3 linked regions of the Diceros bicornis minor genome follow. The protein of the gene in region 3 interacts with the protein of the main gene of each other region in a pairwise test. Links are inferred from orthologs where the notes say so. Each region holds a gene or a part of one and is shown on either strand. Other genes may lie near its edges.

Evidence for each region. The genes of interacting proteins can lie anywhere in the genome.
Region 1: the proteins of KRT40 (region 3) and ZNF202 interact in binary tests that used the Homo sapiens proteins (3 or more experiments, as listed by UniProt). The two-hybrid records come from large-scale screens. The link is inferred for Diceros bicornis minor from reciprocal best matches to the Homo sapiens genes KRT40 and ZNF202.
Region 2: the proteins of KRT40 (region 3) and AP1M1 interact in binary tests that used the Homo sapiens proteins (3 or more experiments, as listed by UniProt). The two-hybrid records come from large-scale screens. The link is inferred for Diceros bicornis minor from reciprocal best matches to the Homo sapiens genes KRT40 and AP1M1.

The regions. Positions count from the first base shown.
Region 1 is NC_080746.1:13,749,364-13,756,585, forward strand, and holds the start of ZNF202 (zinc finger protein 202), read left to right. Parts: upstream 1-4,122; 5' UTR 4,123-4,231; intron 4,232-4,411; exon of another isoform or gene 4,412-5,332; intron 5,333-7,222. UniProt on the Homo sapiens protein: Transcriptional repressor that binds to elements found predominantly in genes that participate in lipid metabolism.
Region 2 is NC_080759.1:4,410,784-4,417,896, forward strand, and holds the start of AP1M1 (AP-1 complex subunit mu-1), read left to right. Parts: upstream 1-4,013; 5' UTR 4,014-4,090; coding exon 4,091-4,132; intron 4,133-7,113. Other genes in the region: protein FAM32A, read left to right, coding at 287-340, 644-712. UniProt on the Homo sapiens protein: Subunit of clathrin-associated adaptor protein complex 1 that plays a role in protein sorting in the trans-Golgi network (TGN) and endosomes.
Region 3 is NC_080757.1:40,394,487-40,401,974, forward strand, and holds the start of KRT40 (keratin, type I cytoskeletal 40), read right to left. Parts: upstream 3,082-7,488; coding exon 2,635-3,081; intron 1,939-2,634; coding exon 1,856-1,938; intron 1,585-1,855; coding exon 1,428-1,584; intron 240-1,427; coding exon 78-239; intron 1-77. UniProt on the Homo sapiens protein: May play a role in late hair differentiation.

The DNA.
Region 1 (7,222 bases), on a different chromosome or scaffold from region 3:
TTATGTATATGAAAGCTCCTGCTATATGATCTTGGACTTTATTAAGAACTGCGCCCATAATTACTGATGTAAATCAGTGCAATGACCATCCCAAAAGGAGACTTTACAATTTCTCTCTTTAACCAATCACATGATGGCCTTCACAATCCTGCCATATTTGGGCAAAACTTCCTCTCCTTATCTTAGATCTAGCCCTTCCCTTTTTTTTTTTTGGTGAGGGAGATCAGCCCTGAGCTAACATCCGTGCTAATCCTCCTCTTTTTGCTGAGGAAGACCGGCTCTGAGCTAACATCTATTGCCAATCCTCCTCCTTTTTTTTTTCCTTCCCCAAAGCCCCAGTAGATAGTTGTATGTCATAGTTGCACATCCTTCTAGTTGCTGTATGTGGGATGCGGCCTCAGCATGGCCGGAGAAGCGGTGCGTGGGTGCACGCCCCAACCGAACCGGCCGCCAGTAGCGGAGCGAGCGCACTTAACCACTAAGCCACGGGGCTGACCCCCTTCCCTTTTAACTTAGAAAGACTCACTGAAGTCATATTTGAGTGACGCAGCTCTCCCTTACCTAACAAGAAATAAATTCAGTTTTATTTTTTCAGTTCTAATGATCTTACTATGCACTATAAACCCCAAGAAGAGGAAAGAGTGCATGCCTTTCCCAAGCCAAAAGTGGCTACAGACCACTTTTCTCAATGTGCCATAAACTAAAGATTGCCCGCTGTCTTCCTTAAGGTGTACCTCTAAAGTCATCTCTGTTTTTGTCAAGATCTTATAACTCCATGATATTGACAAATGCCCAACTAACTTAGAGATAAAATTTTTAAAATTCAATACAAGAAAGTCTGAAGTACAACACAGAAAGATTTGGAGATAATTATATATTTACCAAAGTACCTGGTGCCTGACCAAGTGGCTCACCACCACTTTGAATTACAAATTCTCCTTACAAGTTTAAATGACTCCAATTATAAAAATGCCATTTACATATAGCTCTTCCAGAACCACCCACTTTCTATACTTGGTATTCAGCTAGGCTTGGACTGAACAACTAGGAGAGTAGAACTGCTACACACACTTCCAGTTGAGCTCACTCCACTAATTACCCCTGCCATTTCTTTGATTTTTGCAAAATACTCTCTATCTTAAGTGCAGAAGCAAGCATTTTCCTAATAATTAGTTCTTTGCTCTTTATCAAATATTGTTAAAGAAATAATAACCCAATGCCCCCATATCCACTACTATGGCTTTAGTCCAAGTGCTTGACCTACAATAATAGCGTCCTAAATCACCTCTCCACATCCACTTTTGGACCCTTTCATTCTCTTCATGGCCAGAGGAGCTTATAAAAATGTATACCTAATCATGTCACTTAATGAAAATCCTTCTACGGCTTCCCATTAACTTTAACAGATAATGCTTAATTTGGTCTATAAGACCCTTGGTCTATCAGATCTTATCCCTGTCCACAATACCAGGCCCACATCACACATTTCTCTATTGCTCTCTGGCCCCAGACACACTAGTCTTCTCTCGGTTTCTGCAATACCCCAAGCTTCTTCCCATCTCAGGGCCCTTGCATACACACTATTTCCCATTACTTCAAATATTCATTCTTATTCACCCCACTTCCCAGACCCACCTCCAATCTCAGCCTGCCTAGTCATCCTTCAGCACTCATCTCAAAGGTTACTACTGAAGAAAGCTTTCCCTAAACCCCTCTCTACCAGCACCACCACCAGGATTAGGATGTCCAATTATAAGCTCTCATAGCACTCTGTACTTCTCCTTTATAGAAACTTCCACAATCATAATTAACTTATTGTTCAAGTTATTTAAAACTGATTCTTTCCTCCCAAGCTCCTTCATGTCATAAACAGATACCATATGAAAGTTAGCCCCATGAGGACAGATATTTCATCTTCCTTGTTCTCCACTGTAATCCATACACCCACCACAGTATCCTGCAACAGTAGTTGCTCAATAAATAAATCACTGATGAAGGACCAAATAACTAAACTGACAGAACACAAGTCACGTCACACATGGATTATATCCTCTGCAGTTCTATTATGTAAATATCTTATACTCCATGTTTTCAAAGTGGAAATTAATTACCATAGACAATATTAGATTAGAATTCCCAACTTACACCATTTACAAAATAAAATAAAATAAATTCAAAATCTAACCATAAAAAGGAGAACAAAAAAGTAGCAGAAGAAAATATAGGAGGAAGCCCTGATGACTCTGGTGTGCAGAAAATGTTCTTAAACAAGACATGAAATTCAAAGCCACTGAGAAAAAGTGTATCAAATTTGAAACTTTAAGACTATAAACATAGTTAGAATATAAGCTATAAAGGTGAAGAAAATACTTGCGACACATATGACAAATGATTAGTATCTAGAATACATAAAAAACATCTAACAATCAATAAGAAAAAGACAAAAAAAATCCAACAGAAAAATGGGAAAATTTATAGGAAACCTACAAATTACCAATAAATGTACAAAAGGACATTCAGTTTCACTATTAATCACAGAAAGGCAAAGTACAACAACGAGACATCACTTTTTATCAATCAGACTGGCCAAAATTTACAAGTTTGGCAACACGAAGCAATGGCATGGGTATGGGGAAAAATATTCTCATACACTGCTGTTAAGAGTATAAATGGTGCATTGATTTGGGAAGATAATTTGGTATTATCTATTAAATGTATACAACCCATGACCTGGCAATATCTTTTCTCAGTATCTGTCCCAGAGTAACATTTGCATGTATGCACAAAGAGAATGTTTATTATATCATTGTGTGTGACAGCAACAATTGTAAAAAACATATATTATCAATAGGCAAATGGCTATTCAGACTATGGAACATTATGCAGAAAGTAAAAGGAATATGAGAGATCTGTATGCACTACTATAAACAGGTCTCCAAGGCCCATTGCTAGGAGAAAATAGCAAATTGAGGAATTCAACACAAACACACACATACATGCATGTACACATAAAACAATACTATGTATTTTCCATGAATACATGTGTATTTTATGTAAAAGTATAGAAAAAGTTCTGGAAGATAAACACACCAGACTCAATAGAATAAACTCGTCAGAGAGATGAAGCAGCCAGGATTAGTAAAAGGTCATTAGCTTTATCTATAATGTTTCAAATGTTTAGAAGAACATATTTATGTATTATTTATTAACTTGATATTTTAAAATATTAAATGAGATATATAGAGAAAACAGTAGGCACACAGTAGCCTTTCATGAACTATATATTGCCCTCCCTCCACCAAAAATGATGGCTACCTTGGGTTCAAACACAAACAGATCCCAGCAACGTGTCCCATGAAAATGAAATGTGTAAGCACAGTTGGGGAAAAGAAGGCCCTCATGTGGCAGGTGGAGAGTGGTGACTTAAGGGGTAGAAGGGATAGAGAGAGTAAAAAGGGAAATAGCAGGTACAGGCAGAAATATCATTGACCCAGACAAAAGTGAGTAAATGAGATCAGGGAAGAGAGTCTCAAAGTAAAGAAACACACAGAAATACTTAAAGGGAAATAAAGAATGATACTATTAACTATTCTCTTACTGAGTTTACTGTGTTCACAGGCAATGTATCATCTCATCTTCAGAGCAACGGTATTATTACCCCCATTTTAGACGGGCACTGAGGTTCAGAGAGGTGGAAAGATCTGTCCGAGGCCCTGCAACTGATGGCGAATGCACGAGCCTGTATTCAAACACTAAACTGCTCTCTCTTCTACCTTGCTTCGCAGACAACGCAAAGGAACAAAAATCAAGAAAAATACGTAGAGGTATAGGCACCAAAATCAAAACAAACAAAAGATCAAGAACAGAAAAACGAAAAGAGAACCCTTGCAGAAGGTATGTGTGTAAAAGGAAGGGCTGCTCGCTGCAGACAGGAGCGGGCGTGCGACCGGAAGCGGCCTGGGCCCCTGGCTTTTCACACTGAATCCTCCGGGGGGCACGGAGCCTCAACCCTCGCTGGGCACATAGAGAGGACCAAACCTCCCAAAGCCTAGAAAGGCTCCAGCCCGACAAGGAGGCGGGGCGAAGGGCAGCTTCCGGTTCCGGGCGCAAAGGCCCCACGTGTTCCGACCCGCCAGGCCCCGCGCGGCTCGGATCTGGCGGCGCTGCCTCGGCCGGGAGTGGGTGAGGGACAAGCCGGGGCAGGGGAGGAGCTGCCGGAGCTGTCGGAGCCGTGAGTGCTGGGGGCCGGGCCGGGCCGGGTCGGATCGGATCGGGCTGAGCCGGGCAGGGCAGGGCTGGGAAGAGGGGGAGGGATCGAAGACCCCGCCTCCCCGGAGCCTGGGGAGATTGTACTGTCGTGGGGAAGAGGCGGCGGCAGTGTAGTGAGGGGGCCACGGCGTTGTGGTCCTCGTGTCTCCTGATGGCCTGAGCAGGACCTCCGGAGACGCGATGGCGCGCCAGGGTTCTTTCTTTCCAGCCACCGCCCTCCGCCCCCTCCTGAGGCCTGCAGAAACGCAGTTAGTCTGTACCTCCCAATGCTTCCGCGCCAACTGCCCCCCGGAACCGAGGCAGGAGTAGTCTAAGCCCCTTTATTTCCCGCAGCTTTCTCACCCCGCCTCTCAGATTGCTCAAGAATCCCCCCGCAGGCTCGCTGCCCAGGCGAGCCCCATCGTTCCACCACTAACCACCCCTCCAAGATTCACGCAGATACGCTCACCCGTGATCTTATCACCCGTGATCATACTAGGCCTTGGAGACCATCTGGCCTGTGGCTCTTCAGCTGCCACTGTGACCGACCCCGAGCTTCCCCTCAAGCCAGTGGCTGCTGTCTCCACTTGCAACTTCCTCCCCCCCCACCCCTCCCCAGTCTTGGCACTTCTTCTCAACACCAGCGTTACCCTCAGCAAGAATAAACGGGCCCCTGCTTCTTGTCTGGTTTGGCTAAAAGTTTGTTAGTTTGTATGCCATGGACATGCAATGTTATCTTGGAAAGGTGTCAGCCCAATTCTTATCTTTCTGGGCATTGGATATTCTGTCTCTGGGATTTGATAACCCTGTCTGCCTTGGTACCTGTACTGACCTCCTCAAAAGTAGGCTCTTAGGCCTACCTCTTTTTCAGCCACCTTGGTTCTGGGGAGCAGTACCACCTCCAGGCTCTCGCTTAGAGGCTAGGCTTAGAACTGTTGCTTTTTCTCTGTCCACGCTGCAGGTGACACCCAGGGCAGCCTCACTCAGAAGCCACAAGGAATGCTAGTGGAGTCCCTCATCCCTCCTCCCAGCTTCTCTTCCAAGCTGCCCCATGGGCCTTGATCCAGAAAGCCACTTCAGAAAGGTTGTGGGGTAGCCATGGGAGGCTTGTTGGTGGGAAGTGTGTGACAGTGAAGCAGTTAGGGTTTGTGGCCATTTGTCTTAGGTAACTTTATGCTATTACTGTCTGACATAAGAGGGTGGGCAGGGTTGGAGGGAGGAAGGGAATTTTTCCTCCTAGGACCAAACACCTGGGATACATAATCTTGCCCCCTTTCTTCTCCAGCTGTACCTCTTTTGAACTCTTTCTGTGTACTATATTACACTAGACAGTTCAAGGGCACAGCAAGGTTTACTACAATGTGAGGGACTCTTGGGCGTTACAAATTATACAGATGAGGTAAGTTACAGGTTTACAACATTTTTTTTCCCCAGTTAATTTGGCACAGGCATAAAACGTATAACAGCCCTAGACTCTTTCTACTTTTGCAAACTCTCCTTTAAATTTGACCAACGCTGGAAAAGTTGGATCCTTTCTGCTTGAACCTCAGATTTACTTCCTTTGCCTTAGGTACTGCTTCTCAAATTTATCATGCATCTTAAGCACTTGAAGGCCTTATTAAACACAGATTACCGGGCCACCCCCCGAGTTTCTGATAATAGGTCTGGGCCGGGGCTTGAGAATTTGCATTTCTAACAAGTTCTCAGGTGCTGGTGCTGCTGGTCTGGGTTTCTCACATTGAGACCACTGCCTTTGGCCAAACTTCTTCACATAAACATTGCGGTGGTTTAGAGATCAAAAGACCTGTGTATGAGTACCTCTGTGCTGAAACCAGTACAGTGATCCGGTGTGGGTAATTTAACCACTTAGGTCTGAGTTCTTTCGTTTGTAAAATTAAGAAAGTGTATTTAAAACAAACTCCAAATGCTAAATTAGAGAGGAATATTGATGAGTTTTTCCTTTATTTTCTTAATTCTCTTGGTAGAACCTTCCATTTTGATCATATAGCTTATAACCATATTCTCAGTTTTGGCTATGAATCTCTAGTATGCTCAAGTCCCTGCTGTTTCTTAACTACATGTTAAATTCTTTAAGGTCAGAGCCTGCGCTTTTCTCATCTTTCTCTGCCCAGCACCTTGAATTGTGTGGGACACACAATTGATGTGCAGTAGATATTTGTGGAGTGAATGAACTCTATCCGCTGCTCTCTTACCCCCTTGAAGAAATTTTTCTCCGCTAATCCTGTGCCACATAGTAAGGCAGTATATGGCTGTGCCACCTGAATCCCCCCAGGAGATTGGAATAAATGCTAATGCCAAATTGCAATAATGTCCCTGTGAGTGGTTTATTACCCAGACATCCTGGCACCCACTGATTTTCTGAATTTCCCTCCTTCTGTATCCAGATTGGGGGAAGAGAAATAGACAGCTTAATTAAATTGAACACACATTTATTGAGTACCTTTTCTACCAAGTGTTTGACAAAGTGTTAGGCACTGGGAATACAAAAATGAATAATGAGGTTCTTACCCTCAAGGCAAGGCTCACAGTGGGAGATAAAGACACTAAACAGTGCCCACAGAATGGCATTCTGGGATTAGTTCTACTTTGGACCATGAGTTAGTCTGAGACTCTTCAGATTCCTCTGATCCAGCAGGCATGGGTCCCATCCTTTATCTTCTCATCATATTCGAGGAAGCCTTAGGCAAAGCCAGAAGGAAGTCACCTAGATACCCAGCAGGGAGTATCCTGACAGAGAGTGTTAATTACAAAACTAAAAACATAGTAATGCCTTTCGAATTGACTCCTCTGAATTATCCATATTCATACTTCAGGTCAGGCTGTATTTATAAGATATCTTATGCTGTTATTTTTCATTAAATAATGGTTCCTCTAACTGTACGATTGGCATTGAACATGTTCATTGTAGTAATTGGATACAGCTAGTTTTATTCTGGCTGCCAAATGAAACCTG
Region 2 (7,113 bases), on a different chromosome or scaffold from region 3:
AGAGCTCCCATCAGTCTGCTTGTGGGTATGTGCTCAGTTGGTGCTGGTTCATTTCCTGCCCCTCAGACCGGAGCGCAGCTGACCCGGGCTCCTGGTGGGATATGTTGCGGCCAGGCCTCCCTGTCAGAGCAGTCTGAGTGGAGCTGAGGCAAGGGCAAGGTGCACACCCTGAGACCTCTGGCCTTTCTAGGTGTGAGAGCCAGGCTGACTGGGGCTCCCATCTTCCATCCCGTGTTGGCCTGGGCTGCGTCAGGCATGTGAACTCACCTGTTTCTCTTCTCTCCAGCAAATGGAAAGGATCCTGAAGAAAGCATCCAAAACCCACAAGCAGAGAGTGGAGGTAAGTCATGTGCCCAGTGGGGAGATGGAGCCATCTAGGGCCCCAGAGGCTAGGAGCCTGGCAGAAGAGCCACTGGAGTGTTGGCGGGGAGGAGAGTGTACCCAACAGAAGTGACGGCTACCCGGGGGTCACTGAAGGGAGAGCCCAGGGTTCAGGAGTTTCTAAGGCCTGGCAGAGTGGCCTTGAGAGGAGGGGTGCTCTGAGGAGAGACAGGACGTGGAGAAGTGCGGTGGGCAGCACCACACATCCCTGATGCCCTGCGTGGGGCTGTGCTGACGTGGGCTTTCTCCTTTGCTTTCCCAGGACTTCAACAGACACCTGGATACGCTGACGGAGCACTATGACATTCCCAAAGTCAGCTGGACCAAGTAGCCTCCTGGCCCGGGAGGTGGAGTGGCATCAAGGGGAAGCAGAAGGCGAAGTTGGGGTTATGTTTGGTGCCTTTGGTATTTTTTAGAAACATTCTTTTACACACACTTTGCGTCCTCTGTTGAGACAGTGCTTTTCAAAGCAGTGTGCCCTCATTCTAGACCTCAATGAAAGTAAGATTGCCCTTTTACCCTATTTTGGTTTCTCAGTAGAAGATAAACGTTTTCAGTTTGGACTGGAAATTTTTAAGAGTTTACCCAGAGATAAAGGTTATTTCTATGTAAGTGCTGTGGAAAAGCGTTTTTGCCCCTGAGTTGCATGTCACTCTCTCTGACAGCTGGCCAGCTCTCTTTGCCTGGATGAAACTGACTCCATAGGATAAGGAGTTAATGCCAGCAGGCCTGCAATGCAGCCCCTTGTGGGGCCCTGCATTGCCTGCCCTTCCAAGCTCCCTCTAGCTTGGGGCTTATGCTGTTCCATCCAGGGCCTGGGGAAGCCACTGGCAGCTTCGTGGCCTGCAGACTGCCTCCTCAGCCACCTGGCCAGTGAGACAATGCAGCCTGGGAAGCAGAACAACTGTCTAAGGATAGAACACATGCCTCGTCCCTTTCTGAGCTGAGCTGGTGGCCAGCATTCCTCTTCCCCAGTAACCCTATTTCAGACATGTCTAGTGAGTGTTGCCATGGATATTACTAATCAAGCACAGCATTCTTTGTATTGGAACCCAGACACAGCCTGCCTCACTACCCTCAACCCTGGGCTCCAAGCTGACCCCCCGTATTTATTCAGAGTTGGCACATAACATGGAACCTATTGGGCATTCCTGGCCTAAGGACACCTCAGGGGTGACAGGAGCAGGGCAGAGCCCCGCACAGACAGACGGGTAGGGGTGCAGTCAAACGGGAGGACCCAGGTTCTGGTGCTGGAGAGCGAGGATCTTGGAGGGCCTGCGTGCACCCACCGGCTGAGGATGGAACTGCTTATGCTACTGTGAGAACTGACGCACACAGTGCAAGAGGACCAGTCAGAATAGAAACATCGGGTGTTGGGTCTGGGGCTGTCACAAGTGAACTGCAGAATAAAGCAAAAACCAGTTATGAAATGTAAGTCTGAGTGTCTTACTTATAGGCTGTTAGATTATCACTAGACACGCTGCCTTTTAAGGGTTTATCCCATATGAAGAATGTGCATACTGCGAAACGACTCTTCACCCTCAATTTGGAAAAATTTGGATGATGTGTTTCTACTTGTGGTTCGTGGCCCACTTGAGAGAGGTGACATCCTCTCATTAGCAGTGGCTCCTTTGGGCAGATTCCCCCAGCGTGCCCCAGCATTGGGGTCAGGGCTTTTCTATCCCTGAGCCAGCGGTGCAGGTCTGTGAGCGTGATGTGGTGCTGGAAAAGCCTGTGTCAGTACAGTGGAAGATAGACATCCTAATTCTGCCTAACACACCACTCCAGAACAGAGTGGCTTACAACAGGAGTTCTCTCTCCCGATTCTGGGGGTTGACAGTGCTCATCTGGGTGGGTCTGCTCCCTGAGGTGTAGCTTAGTACACATGTGTAGCTGCATTGGCTTCCTTGGGGCCAGAAAGTCCAAGATGGCATCTCATCCCCCAAGACTGCTCTCCACATAGCCTGTTCCATTGGCCAACACAAGTCACGTTGTCAAACCCAGAGTCTCGGAACTACACAAGGGCATGAAGACCAGGAGGTGTGGTTTATTGGGGGCCATCACTGTTACAATCTACCACAGTGGTTCTCAATTTATGCTGTATGTTAGACTCTCCTGAGAGCATTAGGAACCACTGATGCTGCCTGGGGTGGGGTTCGGTCATTGCGAGTTTTCAGAGCTCTCCAGGTGACCTTAATATGCAGCAAAGTTTGAGAAACCCTGGTCTACCACAACAGGTATGGTCTTTTCTGAGATGTTGCAGAGGTCAAATCTGGCTTATACATTACACATAAATGCCAAGGATGAAATTCAGATGTGACTCGAATTCCCCCACTTATGGAGAAAAGGAAGTTACAAGTAATTTAAGTGTGAAGAGTGTTTACCGTGGTGGTACTCTTGGCACTTGGGAATCTTTGTTTCCTCAAAAGACTTGTACAATGTCTTCCCCCCAGCCTCCTTGACAGAGGCACAGAGCAAGGCTGAAAGGAGATGCTCTGTAATGAGAAGAGTCACCTTTCCTGGGTGGCTTTTCTTTTTGCCTTATAATTTTTGGCATTTACTCACTTTTTCTTCAGTGAGATGTACAGTTTTGTAATTTAAAAAAGACATGTTTTTCTAAAACATTGCAACAAACTGGGCAAAGTATGAGGCTAGGTACAATAGGGTTTCTTACCCAATAATTGTCAAAAGGCCTCCATTGGCTGCTTTGTGCAAGAATGCTTCCAGCCCAGGATTTACTTGGTAGTCTTCAGATATTAGTTTTCTTCTCTGGATTTTCCTGCACTTACATTTATCCTAAGTGGAGGATCTATTGCAAATGCCATCTTTCAGAGCCCCCAAACAGAGATGAGTGAAAGGCAGGCAGCCTGAGTAAATGGTTCTGATACTGCACGGTTGGGATCCCCAAAGCAGTGTGATGGTTCATTGGGACAGAATGCAGACATTTCTCCACAGCCTGAGTGTTCATAAAACCAAATGAGATATTCAATTGATTAATGAGAGGTCACGATTTGCATTACCCACCGTGGGCACTAACTACAGAAATGAAACACGTGCTTTTCGCCTAGGTTCAGTGGGGGGAGGTTTTTAGGAGATCATTCCAAGCAATAAACAGGCACGCCTGTTCACTGACGAATGTTGACACTGACAGGTGACAGATAGTGACTGTTGATAAGCCTTGACTGCCATTCAGAGAGTCTGACCTCTTTCCAAGTAACTACCTCCTTACTTCTCCCCATACAGCATTTCGCAATGGCGACTGTATATGATTGTTTCCTAGACTCCCCCACCAGACTATGAGTACCATAGGGCTGGGCCCTAGGTGGGTTCCACCACCGGGATCTCTCACCTAATTTGGCCCACAGCGGGGTTTCCAGCTGCCATGGCTTCGGGGCCCAGGCGGGAAGCTGGAGGATGCCCTGCTTCACTCGGCCCCGCCCGACCTCGTCCCTCTGGACCTTACTTCCGGGATGCTTGAGGCGGAAGCGGGAAATAAGAGCACGTAGAGCGCACTGCGCCTGCGCATACTCCGCCCTGCGCCCGCGCACTCCTGGCCCCTCCTCCCCGACCGGACCTAACGGTCCGCGCGCGGCTCCCCGGACCGGAAGTGGAGGCGAACAGTGGCGGCTCGCGCCCGGCCTTGCTCAACGCCTGGCGGTTGCCGCCGTCGCCGCCGCCCTCGGCCGCTGCCGAGGCTTCCCGCACCGCCATGTCCGCCAGCGCCGTTTACGTGCTGGACCTGAAGGGCAAGGTACGGAGGGCTCCCCACCCTCCCCGTTGCCAGGCAACCGGCGGGGGCCGCGCCCCGTGGGGACCCACCCTGTTGCTTAGGGACGGCCAATGGGACCCAGCCTGGTCTTGGGCAAGGAAGCCAGTCGGCCTCGCCTGAGGGCCGCACCCTGTTGCTAGGTAACCAGGCAGGGTCGTCTGTCCGCACCCTGTTGCTGGGTAACGCGGTGGGCTGCCGCTGTTGCTAGGTAACCGGCTGCACGACACCCCTGACCCCCGTGGGCTGGGGGCTCCAGTCTCGGTGGGGGCCCCCGGAAGACCGAGGCCGCGGCGAGGGCGGGCTGCAGCCGGCGTCGAAGCTGCGCGACCCTTGGCCCGACGTCGCGAGGCGTGACGAGGACAGTGTGCCCTCGGGCCAGTCCCGCCCTCTCAGGGACGTAGCTTCTGCTTCTCTGGCGAGTTCTCTGTGCCGGTCCCTGTAGGTATGTCTTAGCGTTCCTTCGTTGTGACATTGAGTGACAAGGATTAGGTGCGGTAGGTGGTGGCAGCGACACTTTACAGAGGGAGAAAGTGAGGCACAGAGAGGTGACGCAGCGTGCCCAAGGTCACACCGGTCACAGAGAAGTGACAGGTCTAGGCGTCGAACCCAGAATCATTTGTTCATTCAGCTGGTGTCTGAGGAGGACCTACTAAATGCCAGGCAGGTCTCTAAGTCTGAGAGGAGGGATCTTGACGCCTCTCAGAAGTGGGCTGCCGCCCTTCCCCAAGTCCATCCTGGCTGGAAGCAAGTGAGGATCTGGCCTCTTGCACCTGGGAGCAACAAGTACAGGTTCAACAATGTTCAACGCGTCCCACATCAATCTGGGAGGAGACGTGGGTGTCAGGCCCAGGTGGGGCAGGGAGGAGTTAGCTCAGAAGCAGTGGGGTGTGAGGAGAAGTGGCTGCCCCTTCCTGCCCCACTCCCCACCCCCAGCACTTCCCTGGAGTCCCCTGAGTGGGTTGCCTGCCTTGGATGGCACCCAAAGTCAACATCCAGTGAGGCCCAGTGCTGGGCTTCCTTCCCCCCACCTTCTTAGAGGCAAGGAAAGACACAGGGCAGGCCAGGGGCGGGGTGGGTGCAGTGTTCCCTGAGTCCTTGTAGCACGTGTTCTTGCTTCCACCCCAGCCACCGTGTCCTTAGAGGTCCCAAAGGCTGCCTGTCTCCAATCACTCGTTCCTTCAGCAAAGATTTCACGAGCTCCTACGTGCACTGAGCCGCATGCTGACCATCTCGCGGTGACTGTGGAGTCAGGGCTGAGCTCAAAACCCAGCTTTGCTGCTCAGCTGTGTGACCTCAGGCAAGTGCCTGCTCCTCTCTGAGCCTCACTTTCCTCATTAGTCAGAGGAGGCTTCCGTGGCATTATTGTGTGAACTCGCTGAGCCGCGCATGAGAGAGGCTCAGCAGCACCCAGGGCCCACAGTCCGCGTTAGACCCTGTGGGCCTCACGTTCTGGCAGGGGAGACGTGTGGAAGCAGCCGCATGGATCCAGACGGTCAGATCCGGTTAGCCACAGGGCATGGACAAGGCCCCAGGGAATGCAGTTGCCTAACCTCAGTTTTGGCTGGCAGAAGGAGAAGTGGTTACGGAAGGCTTCCTGGAGGAGGGAGATGGGGGAGCTGGAAAGGTGACCAAGTGGCAGACAGGTGGACAAGGAAGCATCTCAGTGGGCCCGAGGGGTGAGGGGCAGCCCACTGGGGCTGGCAAGCAGGAAGTCCTACGTAAGGCTGGAGCCTGGTGGATGGCACCAGGAGGGCCATGGGTGTTAAAGGTGTCCGGACAGGAGAAAGGGCCAGAGGGGACCACTTTGATCCCAGGAAGGAGGAGCCACCGCAGGGGGATTGTAGCCCGGGAGAAGCAGGATCAACCTGCCTTTCGGGAGGCTCCCGAGGCAGCCGGGGGCTCCCTTCCCGGCCTCAGCAACCGTCATGCCATTTATTATTCCACTCCCCACGGACCTCATGTTTTGGAAGTTTGCCTCATGCGCAGACTGCGTTTAATCAGAAGTAAGGTAATGGCACATCAGGAAATTCACTACCACACAGCTCTCTGCCAGCCAGAGCCTCTGATTACCAAGGAAACCAGCGTGGCCACGTTCAGCTGACAGAAAGCCCTCCGTGGACACTCCTCCGCCCTGTCTTTCTTGTTTCTCTGCAGCTGCTGAGGCCACTAGCACACTTCTCAGCAGGCTTCCTTCGGCCCCCTGTTTCCCTCACTGTCTGCTGGCCCCTCCGCTGCTGCCCTCCCTTTGGATGCTGGCCCCTCAGGCATACTGTCCCTCTCCCGGGGCAGGCTTTGATTCACGTCAGTGTGCCGGTGACTCTCAAATTTATACCGCAGTCCAGGGGACTTATCTGGAGATCTGCTGGCCTCGGAGACACCTTGGAAGTCCCACAGCCACTGCAGACTCTCCCTCCATCTGCTCTCTCTCCATCTCGGCGAGTGACACTGCCATCCATGCAGCTGCCCACGTTGGAGCCCTGGGCGTTATTCCTGCCTCCTTTGTCTCCTCACCTGCATGCTCACTCCCCAGACGTTGACTGAGCACCTGCTGTGGGCTGGGCTCTGTTGTCAGTGCTGGCACACAGCTGCGAACCAGACGGAAGTGGTCACTGTTCTCTGGGAGTAGTAGACTCTGGTAGAAGTGACAGACAGTAAATGAGGACACAGATAAACATATGATGCAGTGGTGATGTGGGCAGTGAAGGTAAAGTGGAGTTGGGGGTCGAGAGGGATGGGATATGATCTCTCAGCCAGGGCAAGCAGGGAGGAGGTGCTGTCTGAGCTGAGGCTTGAGAAATGAGAAGAGCCAGCCCAGGGCATTCTGAGCAGAGGGAACTGCAAGTGCAAAGGCCCTGAGGCAGGAACAGGTGTGGATTGCTCAGAGGCCAGCTAGGAGGCCAGAATGGCTGGAGTGGAGTGAGCCCGGGGAGTGTAGACATTGGAGGCTTGGAGGGGCTGTGCAG
Region 3 (7,488 bases):
GAAACACGGGCATGATTAGAGAACCCAAATAAGGCAGAAATCTGGAAGCCTGCCTCTTTATTGCCCCAGGTGCTGACCTGGACAGCGAACCATTCTTCTGCCTCTCTGCGGTTGTTGGCCAGCACCATCTCGTACTGATGGCGCATCTCATCCAGGACCCTGTTGAGGTCGATGGTGGGGGCAGTGTCTAGCTCCACACTGAGGCAGTCACCAAGCTGTCCACGAAGCAAGCTGACTTCCTGAAAGTGGAAATGGAGTAAAGAATGTCACAGAATGGGCAGGGAGGGGGAATTCACTTTGACATCTCAATAGCCTCCCACTTCTGTTTTTTGGAGCAGGGAGTTTAGATTTAGATTCCTTAGGTTGAATCTTTTTTCACCACCAGTTTCTTCATCTGTGAAGTGGGTATAATAATTTTACCTTTTCCAGAGGGTTATGAGATATATGAGAGTTAATATATGTATAAAGCACTTACAAAAGTCCTTGGCACGTAATGAGGTCTCAATAAATGTTAGCTCTTATCATCAACAAATGTTCAAAGAGAAAATGTTCTTGGTTATATCATTTAGCTTCTCATTTTTTAGCTTCATCAATATGAGATAATCATACACTTCATATTTTATGATTTTACATAGATTATATATGCAGAATATTTAAAAATATTTGTCCAAATATTGCCTGAGTCTTTATCCCCCCCCCTTTTCAAATTGAGGTCACATTGGTTTATAACATTATATAAATTTCATGTGTACATCATTATATTTCAGCTTCTGTATAGACTGCATTATGTTCATCACCAAAAGTCTAGTTGCCATCTGTCACCATACACGTGCCCCTTTACCCCTTTTGCCCTCCCCTGGCCCCCTTCTCCTCTGGTAACCTCCAATCTGTTCTCCATATCTATGTATTTGTTTGTTTGTTTATCTTCCACATACGGAAGACTTGAAAGCAACCTAAGTGCCCATTAATGGATGAAAGGATAAAGAAGATGTGGTATATATCTACGGTGGAGTACTACTCAGCCACAAAAAAGATGAAATCTTGCCATTTGTGGCAACATGGATGGACCTTAAGGGTATTTATCCCCTTTTTGAAATGACCTTCATACTCTGTGTTTATCAGCCTGATTTTCACACTCTATGGATTAGAGTTACAAGTGGCATAAAGCCTCCAGAGAAAGCTAACTCCACAAAAGTAATGGCAGGTGATGAGTTTGGCCCCTTCATCTGGCACTGGCCAGGGGTCATTTCACATCTACATTCAGAGACACATGGGAGTGATCAGGCTGCATAGTAGTAGTGCCTCGAGTAATTTTGTTTCAGTTTAAGCCACATCTACCCAAGTGCAATTTTATATATACATAATGAAATCTATCAGTTTAACTTTGTCACTCTGAGAGCCCTTCAGCGATTTTCCACTTTCCTCACCTCTTCGTGGTTTTTCTTAAGGCAAAGAAGATCGTCCTTCAGAGACTCCACATGGGCCTCCAGATCACCTTTGCATAAGTTCAGCTCACCCAGGATCCCACGCAGGCCACTGATGTCCGTCTCCACCAGCTGGCAAAGAGACAGTTCAGACTCATACCTTTCACAGCAAAAGAGATACAGCCTGTGCTTACTTTGCTGACACTGTGCCGAGTGCTAGGGCATGCTGATGAATGACACGTGAACTCAGGGAAGCCATGTGCTGTGATTTCCTTTATATCCCAAATAATGGTAAATTCGAGCTTTGCGAGAATTCTTAGCATAAAAATATATTATATGGAGAATATTTGTGCTGTGTTTGTGTCTGTGTGTGTGCGTGTGAGAAAGATAGAGGCAACCATAAATTATTTTCAAATTCAAATTAAACTTACCTTGACTTAAAGTCATCGGCGGCCAGTTTGCAGTTGTCAAGCTGTACAGCAAGTCTAGAATTCTCTGCCTTCGTGCACAAGATCTGGAAAGTAAGTTATTATGTAATAAATGTTTTTTTGAAAGAAGCATAAGTATCTATTCATGTAACATCTATGCCATTATTTATCTCTTAAAAGTCTTTATAAGAAAGTATAAAATAGCTTTCAGCCTGCTTTTCTTATTAACCATGTCACCTCATAAGGAAAAAAACAGTGCCAATTTATAAACAAAATAGAGAAATAAAAAGGTTTAGTTTTTTAATGACCCAAGACATTTTGCAATGTTCCTTGGCAGTTGAACTCAAAATTTTCTCTGTAAGTAGTTTGTATTATGACTATGTCCCCAGCCATGATAATAACAATTCATTAATAAGAAAAGAAAATGATTACTAGGTGAAATTATATGATTAAAAAATGACATTTCAATATCTTATGCTAAAAATAATGTAGATGTACAGCCTTACATACAGAAGTAATTTTAGATTTAATAGTTTTTCATCATTCTATAGATGATAGGGTAAAGTTTAGAGGTAAGTGAGTTTATTGTGGTCAATCAGTAATTAGAGGCAGCACTGGGGCTAGTGCTGGTGTTTCCTGACTTCTAGTTAAGTACTCTGGACCCTCTACATCACATCGCCTCTTGGAAGTCCCCTTTCCCTGGCTTCCTCCATAGAACAGTAAAAAGATAAAGCAAATCAGAGATTGGGAAGGTGGAGCATTAGGGCAGTAAGGCACCAGACCTTTTGTTGGAGATCTTCAATGGTGTCAAAGTAACACTGGTAATCGGGGCACACCAATGGGATATCCTCTTCACATTGCTCTCGGATCCTGCCTTCCAGCTCTGCATTCATCTCCTCGAGGCCACGCACCTTCTCCAGGTAGTTGGCCAGTCTGTCATTCAGGAACTGCATCATTTCCTTCTCATTGCTGTTGAACACCCCATCCTCACACCAAGCACAGTTCCCCACCAAGCACGGAACATTACAACTCCCAGCAAAGTGGCGTGGCACGAAGCAGCCGGCTGGCAAGTGAGACCTGGATAGGAAACTAGGGGTCTGGCATCTGGATGCAGCACAGGCGCTGGGGAGACAAGTGGTTTCCACGGGACAGGTAGAAGCAAACGCACAATCAGAAGCCCTGGCACAGGATTCAGAAGAGCTGCCCGTGGGGGAGCTGTCAGAAGTCATCCTGTTAGAAGTGAAGAGCAAAGACTAGTTCCAAAACTCCAGTTGCCTGGCTCCAAAATCTCCTTCCCTGCTGAGACTTTTATATAGCCCCCAAATGGGTATTTACAGAATGCACCGGATGTTTTCTTTATCGCTGTTGGTGCCAGTTTTCATGTGAACATTCATTAGCGTTGTTTATTTGCTGACAGAGTTTTATGCCTCATAAAAGAAGCATAACTTCAGGTTACTAAATAAGGTCACTATTTCCATGTGCCAGTGGGATAAAATGCTTGCTTCAGAAAATCTTCATAGGAAGCATTGTCCTTTTGTCAGAATAAGGAAAGAAAGAAAATGTGGCCAATGAGTAATTATAGATACAACTGATTATCAATATGGAAAATAATATTCCCATAGATTTTGATCCTGTTCATTGAAAATTATTTATTGTCTCCTTTTAAAGTTAATATTACAACTCATTAAATGCCATTTGTTTGTGCCATCACCATAAAAATGTTTCGTGTAATTAGCAATCTTTGCAATGCTTTTTGTGGTCTTGCTGTGCTCATGTGGTGGAGGAGTGAGGTGGAACTGGGTTTAAGGTGTGTGTGTGTGTGTGCGTGTGTGTGTGTTTGAACCAGATCTGCCTGTGTGCAAATTGAAAAGTCACTTTACACAACTGATGGGCATAATTTGTGCCCCCCCAGGCCAGAATATAAAATGGTTATCAAGACCTGGAGTTATGATCTTTGATTTCCTGACACTTGCCTTCTCCACATTTCCTGTGCCTCATGGGAAACTGAACTTTCATTGATTACACTTCAGAGTAGGGGCAAGGATGCTACAGAAGGCTTTTCTTCCGAGATATGGAACCTGCTTTCTCTTATTTATTTTTGAAGGCCTCAATTTCATGAAAATTTAAAATACTGGAACTGGGGAATAAAACTCTATGATGAGGGTTCCAGATCAGCAATTCCGTTGGAGGAAATCCCTGGTGCAGTACCGAACGGCTAGGGATTTGAGATGTAGCTATTTTAGATTTCCCCTTGAATTTCATCTCCATTATGAAGCATAATCTGTTTCACTTTGCTTGCCTTCAGTTGTGGTTGTTTGATTCTGTAATATGCCCTTACCTCAGAACATCCACTTACTGCTGCCAGAATCATTTCTGTAAAATACAAAGCTACTTTTTGTCACTCTCCACTTATAAAGTCCAAACTTCCTAGATTGACAAATATGACCTTCCTTAATCTGGTCCAATTTACCTTTCTAGCTGATTTCCTGATACTGTCTCATCCTTCAGGCTCTGTTGGTGCTGTTGCCTTGGCCTAATGCTCTTCTACCATCCTTTCCTGGGTGAACCCACGTGTCAAGACTCGGCTGCCGTGGCATTCAACTGCCTCACATTGAGGTGGCGGCTCTTTCCAGAGCATTTTGCACACACCTCCACTTATGTCACGTTGCTTTAAAATTTTTATGTTTGTGCCTTTTTTTTTTTTTTTGACAGTGTCTCTTTTAAGACGGGTGTATCTTATTTGTCTTCTTACCCTCAGCACTTGGGACATAATATAATAGACCCTTAATAAATGTTTGCTAAAAATATAACCACTTGGCTTAACAGAGGTTTCTGTCTTAACACATGATTCCTTATGAAAGAAATTTAACACTGAAAGACAAGGAGAATTGGCGGAGGACGAAGAACACTGTCTTAGTGGACATAGTATTTATATTCTAGTCCCAATGCTGTTACTTACTAGCTGTATTATCTTCATCTAGTCGTGTAGCCCCTTGGGGCCTTAGTTAGTCCTCACTGTAAAGTGGGAAGAATAATACCTGTCACTTCTACAGTATAGTGTTGTCAAGAAATAAACAATATGAGTATCTCTCACTTAATAGATAATAAAATATAATGCCAGTGTAAGATCTCCAATTTATGAGTCTTGGTCCCCAATGCCTCCATAGTTGTCAAATACATATTCTTTTTGTTCCTCCATTTTTTTTATTGAGATAAAATTTACATATAGTGAAATGCAGTTTTGACAAATGCATATACCTATGTAACCATCACCCCAGTCAAGATATCTAACATTTCCATGACACCAGAATGTTCCCTTGTGCTCATTTTCACTCAATCCCCACCTCCCAAAGGTAAACACTGTGCTGGTTCCTATTACTATAGATGGCTATTCTCTATTTGTGAATTTCATGAGTAAAACTACACAGCGTGCATACTTTTGTATCTGGTTTCTTTCACTCAGCATCATGATTTTTAATTCACCCATGTTGTCGCTTGCTTCAGCAGTTTGTTCTTTTTTTTTTTAATTGCTGAGGAGTATTTCATTTGTCGACACAAATAACCAGTAACCATTCTATACATAGGAGAGATAAGGTGAATTTTACTTGAGCCAGGAAGGCAGTCTTGACAAAGGGAGAAAGTGTTCCAGAGAAGCGCGGTTTGCAGCGTGATAATATCCCATTTCAGAACAAAGAACATACATCAAGCCTGACAAGGATACGTTTTTTTCCTCAAAGTCACAAGGAGGTATTTTGCTGCAGTTTCGCATGTGTGCGGCAGGTCAACTTGACCCTGATTTCTGTCAAGAAAAATTTACCTTCAAAAGAGCACTGGTATTGACGTCAGAGGAAGGGAGGTATCCGTCCCTATCCTCAGACAGTGCATCCTTTGCTTTGGGGTAATGTTTAATGTTTAAAGCAGATGTACAATGCATGTTTGACAGGTCATAAGTCAGGCTGCTCTAGGGAAAACAAGTTTAGGCTGAATCAGGTTTAAGCCAGAATGGCTTCCCTACACATCTCAACATGTGACAATTTCTTATTATTTTGATTATTTTCATCACATTGTATGAATATACTACAATTTGTTTGTCCATTCTTCTTTGGATGAACATTTGGGTTATTTTTTGTTTGAGGCTACTATGAATAAAACTTCTATAGACATTCTTGTACAAATATTTTTGTGGATATATATTTTCATTTCTCTTGGGTAAATATCTAGAGTAGAATGGTTGAGTCATGGAATTGGTACATGTTTCTTTTTATAAGAAACTACCAGACTTTTTTCCAAAATGATTATACTCTTTTACACTCTTACCAACAATGTATGAAAGATTTAGTTCTATACCTTCACTAACATTTGATGTTGTCAGACATTTTAATTATAGACATTTTAGTCAGTGTAAAGTGTCATCTCATAGTTTAATTTACATTTCTCTAATGACTAACGAAGTTGAGCAACTTTTTATGCATTTATTGGCCATTTGGGTATCTTCTTTTGTGAAGCAGCTATTCCAGTCTTTTGTGTATTTGTCATGGGCTGTTTGTCCAAGAGAAAGTAGTTGCCTGACAATATATTTGCTTGACAAAATATTCTCTACTGTCCCTCTGCACTTAACATTGCTGGTGGTTTTTTTTTTTTTTTCGTGAGGAAGATCAGCCCTGAGCTAACATCCATGCCAATCCTCCTCTTTTTTTTCCCTTTTTCTCCCCAAAGCCCCAGCAGATAGTTGTATGTCATAGTTGCACATCCTTCTTAGTTGCTGTATGTGGGACACCACCTCAGCATGGCCGGACAAGCGGTGTGTCAGTGCGCGCCCAGGATCTGAACCCCGGCCACCAGTAGCGGAGCACACGCACTTAACCGCTAAGCCACGGGGCCGGCCCCCTCCTGGTGTTCTTTAATGCTCCCTGTGGGTCTGAGATTTCATCTCGTATAATTTACTCTTTTAAACCAAAAGGACTTCCTTTAGTGTTTCTCACAGTGTAGGCTTTCAGACAATGCTTTTTATCAGCTTTATTTATCTAAAAATGTTTTCATTTTTCCTTCAATTTTGAATGTTGTTTTTGCAAACTATAGAATTCTGAATTAATATTTTTTTTTCCTTCAGGACTTTAAAAATGAGGTTTCATTGTCCTCTGACCTCCATTTTATCTGAATAGAAGTCTGGCAACCTTTTTCTCTTTGGTACCCTCTATTTAATGTGTATTTTTCCTTCCTATTTCTTTTAAGATAGTCTATTGATCTTTGTTATTTAGCAGTTTGACTCTATCTGTGTGATGTGTGTGTGTGTGTTTAGGTTGTGTTTATCCTGCTTCGGGTTTGTTGAGATTGTTGAATTGTAGGCTAATAAAATAAATCACTAAATTTGGAAAAATTTCAGCCCTTTTTTCCCTCAATTTTTCTGCCCCACTTTCTATCTTATCATTCTGGAACTCCAATTTCACATGTGTTGGGCCACTTGATACTGTCCCACGGGCTGCTCAGGTTCTGTTTTTTTATTTTTTTTTCCATCTTTTTCTTTCAATGTTTTACTTTTGATAATTTTGATCTATCTTAATTATTTTGAGCTATCTTAATTCATCGATTTCAATAATTGGCAGTTTCCAATCTGCTATTAAGGCCATCTATTAAAT